Linked DNA regions of Arabidopsis thaliana. The protein of the gene in region 2 interacts with the protein of the main gene of each other region in a biochemical or structural test. Each region holds a gene or a part of one and is shown on either strand. Other genes may lie near its edges.

Region 1 (6,314 bases), on a different chromosome or scaffold from region 2:
AAGTCGGTGAAGAAGAAACATTGAACGGTATAATCGTAATTTCAATCTTCATCTGTGTAAACAAAAACAAACTAAAAGGGTATAACTGTTATTCCACCTCTGTTTGTAGGACTAATCTGATCGAAAAGAGGATATATAAGAAACGAATGAGTTTGATAAATTTGTAATCTGTTGTAGTTGAAGCATAAGATCGGCTACTCTGTTCTTGACTCTCCAAAGTTCGTATCTTTATCTGCATTCTGGAGAAATTTCTAATCAACTTAACTTTTAATTTGTGTGGGTTTGTTCCCTTAACATTGTTATAGATTAGAATTCATCCTTTGCTTTGTTTATTTGGGTGTTTATCTATCGCAGGAATTAGGGTTTTTGGTCTGCTTCGATGGATATGGATCAAGAGATAGGTCAAAATTCTCCTGGGTAAATTCAATTCATTAAGAACTATCAATATGTTTACACTTCTGTATAGGTTTCTCTGCATTGATTCTAGGAAACTTTGAGTCATGATCGATTTTGTTTTGTTATTGGGAATAGAGTAATGAATATATGTGATTATAACTGCAAAGCAATTAGTTAAGTTATGTTATTTGATTCAATCACATTTATGAATCTGCACAGATTTGATGGTGAATCAGTAGTGTCAATGAGTAATAGAAGCAAGGAGACTGAACCAGTCCCGGTTGAGAATGACTATTATCGGGAAAACGGATTCAACAGTGATGGTGATGGTGATGATGTGAAGGTTAATGGTGACAGAAGCTCCTTCACTGATTTGAATCAACTCCCGGCGATTCCGCCAGCTTCTAGTGGTCAAGGTTTGCCGTTTGCACCTGTCGATTTCCCGAGCCCCGGCGATGTTTGGACTTGGAGAGTTGGGAGGAGAGTGAATAATGCCGGGTTCCATAAGGATCGCTTACTCATTCTCCCGGAGAGGCTTAAGGGCAAGAATGTACCCAAATCTTTTGCAAGCAAAAACACTCTTTCGCGTTATCTCGAAACTAGTTTCCCTGATATGGATGCTAATGCATTCTTTGCATCTTTTACCTGGAACATTCCGGCTTTGTTTCAGCCTGCAGAAAGAGGTAGCAACTAACACTCTTCTGTTGCGTCAGCCATAAAACTCTATCTGCAACACATGAATGATGTTTCTTTTTTTCTGTAGTTGATGCTGCGTCTCTGTTTGAAGAGACATCCAAAGAAGGACAGAATCAAGATGAGGATGCTGAGGATGTAAAAAAAGAAGGATCAACTTCGCGTTACAGCCAGAGGAAGAGAAAACAGGTGCAGATACAGACTAATGAACCTAAAGCAACTCCGCGAGCTAGCAACAGGAAAAAGACAGCCACAACAACACCAGCTGCTGAACATAAGTCAGCTCGGGAATCTTCCTCGAAACGTTACACAAGACAGCAACAAGGTGATGTGTTTGACTTGACTGAAGAAAACAAGGAATCAGATGCAAAGAAAGGCAGCAAGAGGATGAAGAAACGCAGAGGTAACTATGCAGACGAAGAAGAAGAAGAAGAGGCTTTTGTTCCGCATATCTATGTTTCTTCTATGAACGGTGTCATTGCAGTCTCTCACCCTCCTGTGGATATAAACCCAGAAGAGTTTGACAGTTATCTGAACTCTCTAGAGAATCTTCTTCAGCAACAGCCTTCAGAAGCAGGACAGGAGTCTTCATCATCACTTCCCGTTAGTGCAAGCTCTCCAGTGAGAGATTACGAATGGACAGAAGCTCGAATGAAGCTTTCATCGCTTCTGGAGAAAGATTTCTCTTCCTTGTTCATGTCTAATGAAGCTACGGAGATGGCAAGCTTGGCAGCTAAACTCAAGAAAGATCCAAGCCTATCAGCTGAAGAAATAGTGAGGTTGAAGCTAATCGAAGAAATTCCAACTTTCAGCGAAGTTTTTCAAGAGAACCAAAGCATGATAGTAGAAGCAGATAGGTTCTTCTCCGCTCTCGAGCTTAACAAAGCGAAGGTCGCATCTCTCAAGTACGAATACAGCGACTTAAAGGACAAGCTAGGCAATATCCAAACGGAAGTCGATAGAAACTCAGAGACAATCCGTCAAATTGACGAGCAAATCGCTCAGCTTCAAGCTAAACGAACCGAGCTTACCCGCTGCATCAGTAACAAGGGGAAAGAGAAGGTTGATCTAATCTTTGGTCAGAAGATGGTAGCGAACTCAATCCCTAAAGTGGTTCAAGAAGTTCAAGCAGCTAACTTGAAGAAACCTGAATGGGAAATGAAGAAAGACAATGCTCTTAAACGTGAATCAGAGATCCTCAATAAATTTGCCCCTCTCAAAGGATTTTATCTCTAAAACTAAAACCAATTGATGTTACGTTACATAAGGCAAAACCTACTCTGTATCCATATTTTCATAAAGAAACAAAAAGATCTTAACTTTGATAACCATTAGATAAAAAAAGTCAAGATTTTTCTCATTTGATCACAAACACATTAGATTACTGTACAAGCACTATCAAATCTCTACCATTGTCTTCAATCTTAGGCACAGTGACAATCAATTCTCCATCGCCGTCGCAATCCACGGTAACGAGCTCAGGCCTAGTTGATTCCGGTAGCCTGAAACGCCACACGTCAAGCTCAAGCTCATCAAGCGACAAACCAAGAGACGATGAACCATTGGTTCTCACAAGAATCTTGGTCACACCAGGATGAATCTCAACCATGTAAGCCCTCACACCTCCTCCTCCTCCCCCGTCTGTTTCCGCGACGAACCTGAAGCAGTCATGACTCTCTTCAACAGCCACGTCAGCGTCTGACTTCAAGGGCAGCTCTAGAACACGGCTGAAGATATGTGGGAGACGACGGAGCTTCTTTCCGGGTTCTCGGGTCGGATCACGAGCGTGATGGATCAGATTGTTGTTATTTTCGTTTCTGGGTAATGGGTGGATTTTCATGGGTCTTTTTTTTTTGGGTGTGAGAGTGATAAGAAGCGAATGGGTCAAAATTAATAGGAGAAAAGATGAGGAATCTAATATAAAGTGATCACCTTTTTGGTGGGAATCAAAATTGCCAGAAAGCTACGGCTCTGTATAACGACTTTGAAATTTGGATTTCTGATCCAACTTTGGGATTAGAACTAGGCAATGATTAAGTGATGATTTAAGAAATGGATAAACAAAATTTGGTTGACGAAAACAGTAAGCTGCGAATGGAGCCAACCAACAGACTGAGAGAAAGGTTTTAAACTGTACATTTTTCGTCAAAACATAGGGAAACCCCCCTCCCTTCCAAAAAAAAACATTTACGTAACTTTTATTTATCCGTTTAATATTTACATTATTAAATATTTCTAAACAATATCTTTCCTAACTTTTATGTTTCTTAAACATAATCGTTGTATTTGCAAGAATATTGCCCTTCAATAGTTACTTCTACGCACAAAAACCTTCGAATATAAGTATTGACGATTTATTATGAAATTTAGACTTTTTTATATGATATGTAAACAATAAAAGTGAATTATTTATAATCTTTATAAAAAAAACTACTTATGAAATCGTATGATATAATAAAGTTAGCAATCTTGTGACAAAATTAATTTTTTTTTGTATATGTCAAAATCATCCTATACTCAATTTGATAATTTAAATATCAGTAATATGGAATATGGATGTAGAAATTGATAAAATTCAACTGTATCAGATATTATAGAAATTCTTTAAACATTTTTTTGTTTGGTATCAGCAATTCAACTGTATCAGTCTATCAGATATGATATAAACTGTTTTCAGTAATACTTATTCAATTATTTTCTTTGGTATCAATATTTTTTAAAAGAATATATCGATTTATGTGTTACGTGTGATGATGATTCTTTTAAATTCAATTGTATACGCCGATGACACTTCCGCCGCCAATAGCGTCAACGGCCGCGAATACAATTCTAGAGAAACTCTCATTCTGCAAATCACTCAACCACATCAAGCAACTCCATGCTCACATCCTCCGTACAGTGATCAACCACAAACTCAACTCCTTTCTCTTTAACCTCTCCGTCTCTTCTTCCTCTATCAATCTCAGCTACGCTCTCAATGTCTTTTCATCTATTCCCTCTCCGCCTGAATCCATCGTCTTCAATCCATTTCTCCGGGATCTATCTCGTTCCAGTGAACCTAGAGCGACGATTCTGTTCTATCAGAGGATTAGACATGTTGGTGGTCGTCTTGATCAATTCAGCTTCCTTCCGATTCTTAAAGCAGTTTCCAAAGTCTCGGCCTTGTTCGAGGGTATGGAGCTTCACGGCGTTGCGTTCAAGATTGCGACTTTGTGCGACCCTTTTGTTGAGACTGGTTTTATGGATATGTACGCGTCTTGTGGTAGAATTAACTACGCGCGCAATGTGTTCGACGAAATGTCGCATAGAGATGTTGTTACGTGGAATACTATGATTGAGAGGTTAGGATCATAAACAGAGTGAAATGTTGTTTAGTGTTTTCTTTTTTAAAAGTTGTTAACTTTAACTTTTTTGTAGGTATTGCCGATTCGGTCTTGTAGATGAAGCCTTTAAGCTTTTTGAGGAGATGAAGGATTCTAATGTGATGCCAGATGAAATGATTCTCTGTAACATTGTCTCTGCATGTGGTCGTACTGGGAATATGAGATATAACAGAGCTATTTACGAGTTTTTGATAGAAAATGATGTTAGGATGGATACTCATTTGTTGACTGCTCTTGTTACTATGTATGCTGGAGCTGGTTGTATGGATATGGCAAGGGAGTTTTTTAGGAAGATGTCAGTGAGAAACTTGTTTGTTTCGACTGCCATGGTTTCTGGGTATTCAAAATGTGGGAGACTCGATGATGCTCAGGTTATATTTGACCAAACGGAAAAGAAAGATTTGGTGTGTTGGACCACAATGATTTCGGCTTATGTTGAAAGTGATTATCCTCAAGAAGCTTTAAGAGTTTTTGAGGAAATGTGTTGCTCTGGGATCAAACCTGATGTGGTTAGCATGTTCAGTGTTATATCTGCTTGTGCTAACCTTGGTATTCTGGATAAAGCGAAATGGGTTCACAGTTGCATACATGTTAACGGGTTGGAATCAGAGTTGTCAATAAATAATGCCCTCATTAACATGTATGCGAAATGTGGAGGTTTGGATGCAACAAGAGACGTGTTTGAGAAGATGCCAAGGAGGAATGTAGTGTCGTGGAGCTCTATGATCAATGCGTTATCTATGCATGGAGAAGCCAGTGATGCACTTAGCTTATTTGCCCGAATGAAACAGGAAAATGTCGAGCCCAATGAAGTCACTTTTGTAGGAGTTCTCTATGGTTGTAGCCACTCAGGACTAGTTGAAGAAGGTAAAAAGATCTTTGCATCAATGACTGATGAATACAATATTACTCCAAAACTTGAGCATTATGGATGCATGGTGGATCTCTTTGGCCGAGCTAATCTCTTACGAGAAGCTCTTGAGGTTATAGAATCAATGCCAGTAGCGTCTAATGTAGTCATATGGGGATCACTGATGTCAGCTTGTAGAATCCATGGTGAGCTTGAGTTAGGCAAATTTGCAGCCAAACGTATCCTCGAGCTGGAGCCTGATCATGACGGGGCTCTTGTGTTAATGTCCAATATATACGCTAGAGAACAGAGATGGGAGGACGTAAGGAACATAAGACGTGTAATGGAGGAAAAGAATGTGTTCAAGGAGAAAGGTCTTAGCCGGATTGACCAAAACGGGAAATCACACGAGTTTCTCATCGGTGACAAGAGACATAAGCAATCAAATGAGATTTATGCGAAGCTAGACGAGGTTGTAAGTAAACTGAAGCTAGCCGGTTACGTTCCAGACTGTGGTAGCGTTTTGGTGGATGTAGAGGAGGAAGAAAAGAAGGATTTGGTTCTATGGCATAGCGAAAAGCTCGCGCTCTGCTTCGGTCTGATGAATGAGGAAAAAGAAGAAGAGAAAGACTCGTGCGGTGTTATTAGAATAGTGAAGAATCTAAGGGTGTGTGAGGATTGTCACCTTTTCTTCAAGCTCGTCTCTAAAGTGTATGAACGAGAGATCATAGTGAGAGATCGAACTAGGTTTCACTGTTATAAAAACGGTCTGTGTTCTTGCAGAGATTACTGGTGAGTTTAGTAACAAATAAATATTAATTTTGCTCAAAGTATTAATTTTGTAACTTTTATTATACTTTACATTAGCCAAAACTTTAAGGCAAAAGTGAGAAAAAGATGACTACATGAATTATGTGGTGTTAGATCTTCCGAACTTCTTGGACATCTTCGGTGATAACTCACCGGACCTCCTTCGTAGCATCTGTCTCATG
Region 2 (8,361 bases):
AAACATAACAATGGAGGTTGAGAAGACAGAGAAGAACATTGCAGAGGATGATGAGTCTAAGATCATCTACAGAGGATGGAAAGTCATGCCCTTCATCATTGGTATTTATTCATCCATATTCTTTCTTATATATATATATATATATTTTTTTTTTTTGATAAATACTTTTGTTTGCTTACAAGTATAAAGTCATCATGTTTTTTTCATCAGTTTCTTGTTCGTTTCAAAATTATGATTTTTGTTTACTTACACTCATAATCTTGAAACGAACAAAAAACTGATGGAAAAACATGAGGACTTTATACTTGTAAATAAATAAAAATATTTATTAGAAATAAATAAACAAAAATATAAGAATATTTATTAATTTCGTGCTCTTTTAGTATGTTTTTATTATTATTTATGAAACATTTGATTCATTGACAAAAAAAACATTTGATTCATAAAATTAAAACATAGGACTTTTTTTATGGATCTGTTTCTTTCATGTTTTTTATTTTTATTTATTATAACATTTTTGGTCTTGAAACGAACAAGAAACTGATAGAGAAAACAGAGGATTTTATGAACAGAGTAACTTAATGCTCTGTTTCTTAATTTGGTAGGAAATGAGACATTTGAAAAATTGGGGATTGTTGGAAGTTCATCGAATCTGGTTATATACTTAACGACGGTTTTCAACATGAAGAGCATCACGGCTGCGAAAGTCGTCAACATCTACGGTGGCACAAGCAACTTTGGCACCATCGTCGCTGCTTTCCTCTGTGACTCCTACTTTGGCCGCTACAAGACCCTATCTTTCGCCATGATCGCTTGCTTTCTCGTAAATTCTAAAACCTATTCATCACAATTTTCAGTTTGAAAAAAAACTAGCTGATTATGTCTGAAAGTTTCAATCGTTTGTTGTGTTTGATGCAAAGGGTTCGGTGGCAATGGATCTAACGGCTGTGATTCATCCCCTGCATCCAGCTCAATGCGCTAAGGAAATAGGAAGCGTGTGCAATGGGCCATCCATCGGACAAATCATGTTTCTCGCCGGAGCAATGGTTTTGCTGGTGATCGGAGCCGGTGGGATTAGGCCATGCAATCTTCCATTTGGTGCTGATCAGTTCGATCCGAAGACAAAAGAAGGGAAACGAGGGATTGAGAGTTTCTTCAATTGGTATTTCTTCACCTTCACGTTTGCTCAGATGGTGTCGTTAACCCTCATCGTCTATGTTCAGTCAAACGTGAGCTGGAGCATTGGTTTAGCCATCCCAGCTATTCTAATGCTACTTGGTTGCATCATATTCTTCGCTGGTTCTAAGCTCTATGTCAAGGTTAAAGCTAGTGGCAGTCCCATTCACAGCATAACTCGTGTCATTGTTGTCGCGATCAAGAAGAGGCGGTTAAAGCCCGTTGGGCCTAACGAGCTTTACAACTACATCGCCAGTGATTTCAAGAACTCGAAATTGGGCCATACAGAGCAGTTCAGGTACTAATAACCTCACTACTTCTCTTAGTTTCTTGTGGAACAACTTAGAAACATTTTAGGGTTTTCTTAATTTGCAGGTTTCTTGACAAATCGGCAATCCAAACACAAGACGACAAGCTGAACAAAGATGGGTCGCCGGTGGATGCATGGAAACTCTGCAGTATGCAACAAGTGGAGGAAGTTAAATGCGTGATCCGGGTGCTTCCGGTTTGGCTCTCGGCCGCCTTATTCTACCTAGCTTACATTCAACAAACAACCTACACAATCTTTCAGTCTCTTCAATCCGATAGACGCCTTGGTCCAGGAAGTTTCCAGATCCCGGCCGGTTCTTATACCGTCTTCCTAATGCTTGGAATGACGATATTCATACCTATCTATGACCGCGTCCTTGTACCTTTCCTTAGAAAGTATACAGGCAGAGACGGCGGTATCACACAACTGCAGAGAGTTGGAGCAGGACTGTTTCTATGCATCACAAGTATGATGGTGTCTGCAATTGTAGAACAATACAGAAGAAAGGTAGCTCTCACAAAACCGACGCTAGGGTTGGCCCCAAGAAAAGGCGCAATCTCTTCGATGTCCGGTATGTGGTTGATTCCTCAGCTAGTGCTAATGGGTATCGCGGACGCCCTCGCTGGAGTTGGACAAATGGAGTTTTACTACAAACAGTTTCCAGAGAACATGCGAAGTTTTGCTGGTTCTCTGTATTATTGTGGAATCGGATTGGCGAGTTACCTCAGCACCTTTTTGTTATCGGCGGTACACGATACCACAGAGGGATTTTCAGGAGGAAGTTGGCTTCCGGAAGATTTAAACAAGGGAAGATTGGAGTATTTCTACTTCTTGGTTGCTGGTATGATGACTCTAAACTTGGCCTATTTCTTGTTGGTCTCACATTGGTACCGTTACAAAGATGTTGTGGCCAAGGACAAGGACATGGACAAGACTTCTGCTGAGTTTGATAAGGTGTCAGTGTAATAAAGATCTTTCCTTTGACTCTTTGGTTTAGGGGCTTTGAGACAATAAAAATACAACCTTTGAACAAAACATTACATACAAAATACAATGTAAAATGTTTATATATGTAAAGAACCATAGCTTCCGTAAAATTCCCATCCCTCAAAGAACAAGCCCGGAAAATTCCCAATTTATGAAATGGGGAAAAAACGGAGCATTGCTCTGTTTTTGGTGATAACGAATAAATTTAAACAGGAACAGTTTGTCCAGTGAGAGCGTCATGGAGATGCAATGACCCATCTTTCATCAAGTTAATGCTTAAGCTTTTGAACCTCTCTCTTGAATATTGTCTCGATGCCTTTCTCCAGTCAGTTCCAGCTTTCATCATCGTCACAAACTCATCATAGTTTATACGTCCGTCCTGTAAAAAGCAAACAAGCCCAACAATCCGACTCAGAAGCAGAGGGATATATCTTTTCTCTTGACAAGCTTTATTGTTAGGCCTTAAAGGAGGATTTTTTTGGATATTTGAAAGAACCTTGTCAGTGTCAACTTCACGCATGATGTCGCTTAGAACACTGGCGTCTGGCTCGCCTAACTCATCCGCTAAAGCTTCCCGTAGCTCATCAAGTTCAATGTATGTACTTCCATCTTTGTCGAAAAACATAAAAGCTAGTTTGAAAAGTTCATCATTCTCTATCTTCTGCAAGTGAATTATCACAGCTACAAACTCTCCATAATCCAGAAACCCATTTCCATCGACATCCGCCTGCGCGTCAAAGCCATACAGATTTCAGCTATGTTTATCAGAGAAGAACACTGAATTGGTCTTTAATCAGATAAGGGCAATGCTTAAATTACCACTTCCATCAACATTTTGATCTCTGGTTCACCAAGTTGTGAACCGACCTTCTGAAGCCCAGCTTTGAGTTCCGGGTAAGTTATTTTACCATCCTTGTCATCATCCATCAGTGAGAACATGTTCTTTATCACTTCAACCTCTTGAATAGACAAGTGCTCCGCAATTACCTGGAAGCATTAACAGGGATGATAATGATCAAAACCAAATATAGACACACACAACAGACTCTCTACAAACTTCAGCAGAAAAGTAAAAGGCAAAAAAAAAACACTTACACGAAGAACTTTCTTTTTGAATCTGTTCATCATAGAGAACTGCTTCAACCTAGATCTGACTATATCTCCTAAAGGAACATTGGGAGCTTTCTTTGCATTCTGTATCCATGGGTGAGCTGAAAGGTGAGAAAAAGAAAATCATTAGTAATAGAGTGGATTAAGGTAACTACGACCATTAAAGAAAACAGAAACACAAGAACTTCACCTAACACTTGCTGAGCAGTTAACCGCTTAGTCGGATCAGGATCCAACATCTGCTTCACAAGGCTCTTGGCACTCTCTGATATCTGAGGCCAAGGGTCTCTCTTAAAATCAAGAACTCCCCGCAAGATCGCAAGAGCAACACCTTGTTCAGTCTCTGTCAATAGAAACCACAATCTTATCGGTTTATCTAATCAACATAGGTGAACAATTACACAGCTGCTAAAATAATTAAAAGAAGAAGCTAACCAGCCCAAAACGGAGGAACACCACAGAGCAAGATATAGATAATAACTCCGGCACTCCACACATCAACCCCTGGTCCATAATCTCTCTTCAACACTTCTGGAGCCATATAATACGGACTTCCTACAATCTCTGTAAACTTATCTCCTACAATAAAGAAAACGTTATTTACCCAATCTCAGATATCTACACAAACTTCCATAAACATGAAGATATGGCAGGATAGTCTAAAAATAGAACCATCCACTGAGTTAAGAAACACTAAAAATTGAATCTTTACCAGGTTTGAAGAACACAGACAAGCCAAAATCAATAGCCTTTAGTGGAGAATTCTCCTTTTTATTAGCAAACAAGAAATTCTCAGGTTTCAAATCTCGATGCATAACTCCATTAGAGTGACACATCATCACAACCTCAGCAATCGTTCTCGCAACAGCTGCAGCAGCACGCTCCGTGTAATGTCCTCTAGCAACAATCCGATCAAAAAGCTCACCTCCTTCACAAAGCTCCATAACCAGATGCACGTTCTCGTTATCCTCATAACTAGCCTTAAGCTTAACTACGTTTGGATGCTCAGGTAAAGTAGACATAATCGCTACCTCACGACGAACGTCTTCGATATCGACAGCTGTTCGAAGCTTTCGCTTTGAAATCGATTTGCAAGCTAAAGCTTCGTGGGTTTCACGATCAGTACAGAGGTAAGTGATTCCGAATTCGCCTCGACCTAATTCACGACCTAAGATGTATTTGTCGCTGATCTGAGTTTGATTGCTCATAGGGATTACATCTTTGAGAACACGTATTGGAGCTGGGGATCTGGTGAAATCTCCGGCGAATGGGTTTAATTTCCGATCTCGATTGGGTTTTTTCGGCTTTGAAGATGGTTTTGATTCTTTTGAGTCTGGCCTTACACAGGCGTTACAGTTACCCATGGCTGAGTTAAGAAACTCAGCAAACTCAGAGAAAGGAGATCAAGGAAGAAGAAGAAGAAGGATTATAGAAGAAAAAAGCTTATCTCTTTAGTTCATATGGACGCCGGAAGTGACGGTGGCGGTGATTTTCCGGCGAATTGGAGAGTTGGGTTGGGAGGGGGAGAGAAAACGCGGGTTCAGGTGAGGAAAAGTCGGACCTTTCGAAATTTCGGATTTTGTTTGATTCAATTAAAAAAAAGGGAGTCTTTGATTTTTGTGTATAGTAATATACAGTATTAGTTTATGATGCATTTAATAACTTGAGAGATTTTTCTAACCATTGCACCATCTTCTTAGAAACTTGTAATTTTTTTTCAATTTTTTTTTTCTTCTAGATGGATTTTTTGGTCCAAGCTTATGACTAATAGAATTCACTTCTTTATTTTTTGGTTGAACTCAGTGGATTAACTCTTGCATTTTTCAGTGGTTTTATAAACAAACAAACAAAATCATTTGTATTTTCAGTTATTATTATTATAAGTTTATATTGATCATATTATAGTTCTATCAAGATGTACAAATGATAACCGACAACAATGATTTTAGAAAATTCAAACTCTTAGATTTAACAGCATCAGAAAATTTAAAGGTTGGATTTCACCAAATTAAAACCTAATTAAAAGAGCATTTATTGAAAAGAAATATAGGCAGACTTCAAAACATTACGGCCAAACGTATAATTAACAGTTTAGCGAGGAGGACAATGTTAGCCGTTGGTGTGAATTAATGGTAATGAAATGAAGGGATAAGATTGAAGTTCGAGGAAGAGAGTTTTGTTGAAGTTGTTGACCAGCGTGGTGGATACGGTGAGACTCTGAGATTGTAAGACAAAACAATAAGTGCGACGTTGATCCCAAACTATTTTTTAAAAATTATTTTCTTCTCTAGAGATATACAATGTACGTAAAATAGAAGAAAAATCATAATAATATTTTATTTATAGTTTTGAATATATTTTTTTTGGAGCAATTTTTTGTTTCTAATTTGCATTATTTTGAAGTCTAGTTCTTTTCTGTTTTTGTATGTGTACAATCATAATCTAGATGCTAGGATATGAAGAAATTCCCGACAGAAAAAAAGAAAGGATAGGAAAATATTGTGTGTATAGACTTCCTCAATTATGAGCAATACTTATTGTGTTGTAGAAAATAAAGCAAAGTTATATAGGTAAATAAAATTCGAAAAGAAGAAGCAAAGTACGAAATATTCCATTAATGGAAGTCAACAACAAATTTAAAAACACTAAAAATCAATGAAAACTATGTTTCTTTGGCTTAGAAAGTAGAAACCGCAAGTCGTCCTATCCTGACTTCGCTACAAGTTCAATTGTCAATGTCATACTCGTTTTCTTTATCTTGGTTTTACATTACATTACCTTGGGGATTTGGATACCATTCAATCCATATATAAGAAAATGTGTGTTGCGCGTCTATATTCCAAAAGACCTAATTAATATATAGTAGTAAGAATTTTCACAAAGGATTAGAGATTGAAACTTTATTTTGTTCAATGAAAATGGTCTTTGATGATGGATGTACTACCATGAATAAAATTTTAGACTTTAATTTTAACAAAATGAAATGTGTGATTTAATGTCAACCACACAGAGCTTAAGTGCTTTTGTTTCAAGGGACATGTGGTGGATTAAGTATGCATATATCATTGCATACGATGAAATATTTTAAAGCAAACTACATAGTTTTTATATGGATAATTTTATATATGTATTTTTTTCAATGATTCGATCAAATTAATATTTGGTAGGTCAGAAAAAAGCGGTTTCAATTTATTGCCCAACTAGAGACCTTCCACCCTCCTATCTATGAACCTACTAAAAACACCAACAACTTATTCGTGGAAAACTTTATCGGTTTTTTGTTCATTCAAGTTTCAAAATGGATATTTATACAACATAATCTCGAATTTAGATTATTTTAAATCCTCTGATTAATCTTCCGAAGAAGAAAGAAACGATGGACATGCTTTTGTCGTCGGCAACTTTAAAGCTGGCATAACTTAAAATTTAAAACAGTAAAAGTGACAATTATATTTGGAAAGAGTGTGTCTTTTTGCTGAAGAGAATGATTATGTTTGGGAATTGTGATGATGTGTTCTATTCAAATGCTGTGGCTGCATGTGTTCTGTATGTATCATGCATGTTGTTACGCCAACTTTTCCATCTATGTATAAGTTCAATCACTTTTCATAAATCATACATACAAATTATATTACAGCTCCAAAAGTTCAATTATACTCTAAACAAAAGAGATGTAATCCTTAATTATTGCCAGAAGTCGAATTTATTAGTATTTTAGTTTCAGCTGTAACAGTCTTTATAAGTTACTCTAATATTTTTCTAAATTGTTTTTGATTTTGTTTTGTGTATGAGACCTCTCATCATGCATTTTCAGATTGCAGTACATAATCTAATGCATGTGTGCATCTGTGAATTTTCTCAAGTAAGTGGGCTTTTAACTTTGTAAACATAACGGGCTAATGGGCCTAACTAGATTGAAAGATGTATTGAACTAAGCCTAGTATGCAGAGGAGACTTTGCACCTTGCTTGGAGAAGAGGATTAGCAAACTCTACAAGACAATTATTCTTCTTTGATTATAGAGTTTTTTTAATCATATAATGCTTATTCCGCTAAAAGTTCTCGTTTCTCAACTTACCACCAAAATCTGAATAGTCAAAATACAACTGAAAAAGAAACTTTCTCTGACCACTAGAGTAACAGGACAGTCACGGGCAAGACATGAAAGCAACGCCACGTGTAATAGCGAAGACTTGCGGAACATTTTTGTTGAAGACTTGCGAAACTTGGGGAGGGCAAGGCTTCTACGTTGCAATTAAGAACTAACCAAAGTGGAAAATAACAAAAAGAAGCTCAATTTCTTCTTCTTTTTAGTCAAAGCCATATATTCTTCTATAACTCCATAAAACACATAATCCTTTTTAAAACCACAAAAAATACTTCGAATTTATCATGTATCAAACAAAATAGAAATATTTACTGGCTAATTGAGAGAAAGAAGTTATGAAAGGGGAATAAAAAAAACTATTAAGAATGGGGAGAATTCTTGTAAGAATAAGACTATTAGGTGTTATTTGGAAACTAATTAAAGATGAGGGGTATATTTGAAAGTTTAGGTAAGAGAAATGAAGTGAAAATATAAAAGGAGAGCAAAAAAAAAAGTTGAGACCTTGAATTGGCAGCAGCCTCCGTGTGTGTGACCAAATATGCTTGGAGGAGAGTAGAAGAACGCTTCTTCTCTCAATTTCGACGACAACGTGAGGAAGAAGACGAACTCGTCTCTCTCTCTATTTATTTTCAATATCACCTGGAGAATTCTGCAGGGACATCAATAATCAT

Evidence for each region.
Region 1: the proteins of CDPK1 (region 2) and HSP1 form a complex in vitro, tested with the Arabidopsis thaliana proteins (one study listed by BioGRID).

The regions. Positions count from the first base shown.
Region 1 is NC_003075.7:8,507,598-8,513,911, reverse strand, and holds HSP1 (17.6 kDa class II heat shock protein), read right to left. Parts: upstream 3,005-6,314; 5' UTR 2,930-3,004; coding exon 2,471-2,929; 3' UTR 2,326-2,470; downstream 1-2,325. Other genes in the region: AT4G14840 (spindle assembly abnormal protein), read left to right, coding at 380-417, 616-1,079, 1,160-2,325; AT4G14820 (Pentatricopeptide repeat (PPR) superfamily protein), read left to right, coding at 3,874-4,430, 4,507-6,118; AT4G14819 (hypothetical protein (DUF1677)), read right to left, coding at 6,233-6,314.
Region 2 is NC_003070.9:6,520,790-6,529,150, forward strand, and holds CDPK1 (calcium-dependent protein kinase 1), read right to left. Parts: upstream 5,287-8,361; 5' UTR 4,948-5,286; coding exon 4,296-4,947; intron 4,163-4,295; coding exon 4,019-4,162; intron 3,927-4,018; coding exon 3,774-3,926; intron 3,685-3,773; coding exon 3,569-3,684; intron 3,461-3,568; coding exon 3,293-3,460; intron 3,201-3,292; coding exon 2,970-3,200; intron 2,853-2,969; coding exon 2,679-2,852; 3' UTR 2,453-2,678; downstream 1-2,452. Other genes in the region: NRT1.9 (Major facilitator superfamily protein), read left to right, coding at 11-101, 606-823, 921-1,474, 1,552-2,452. UniProt on the Arabidopsis thaliana protein: May play a role in signal transduction pathways that involve calcium as a second messenger. May be a positive regulator controlling stress signal transduction.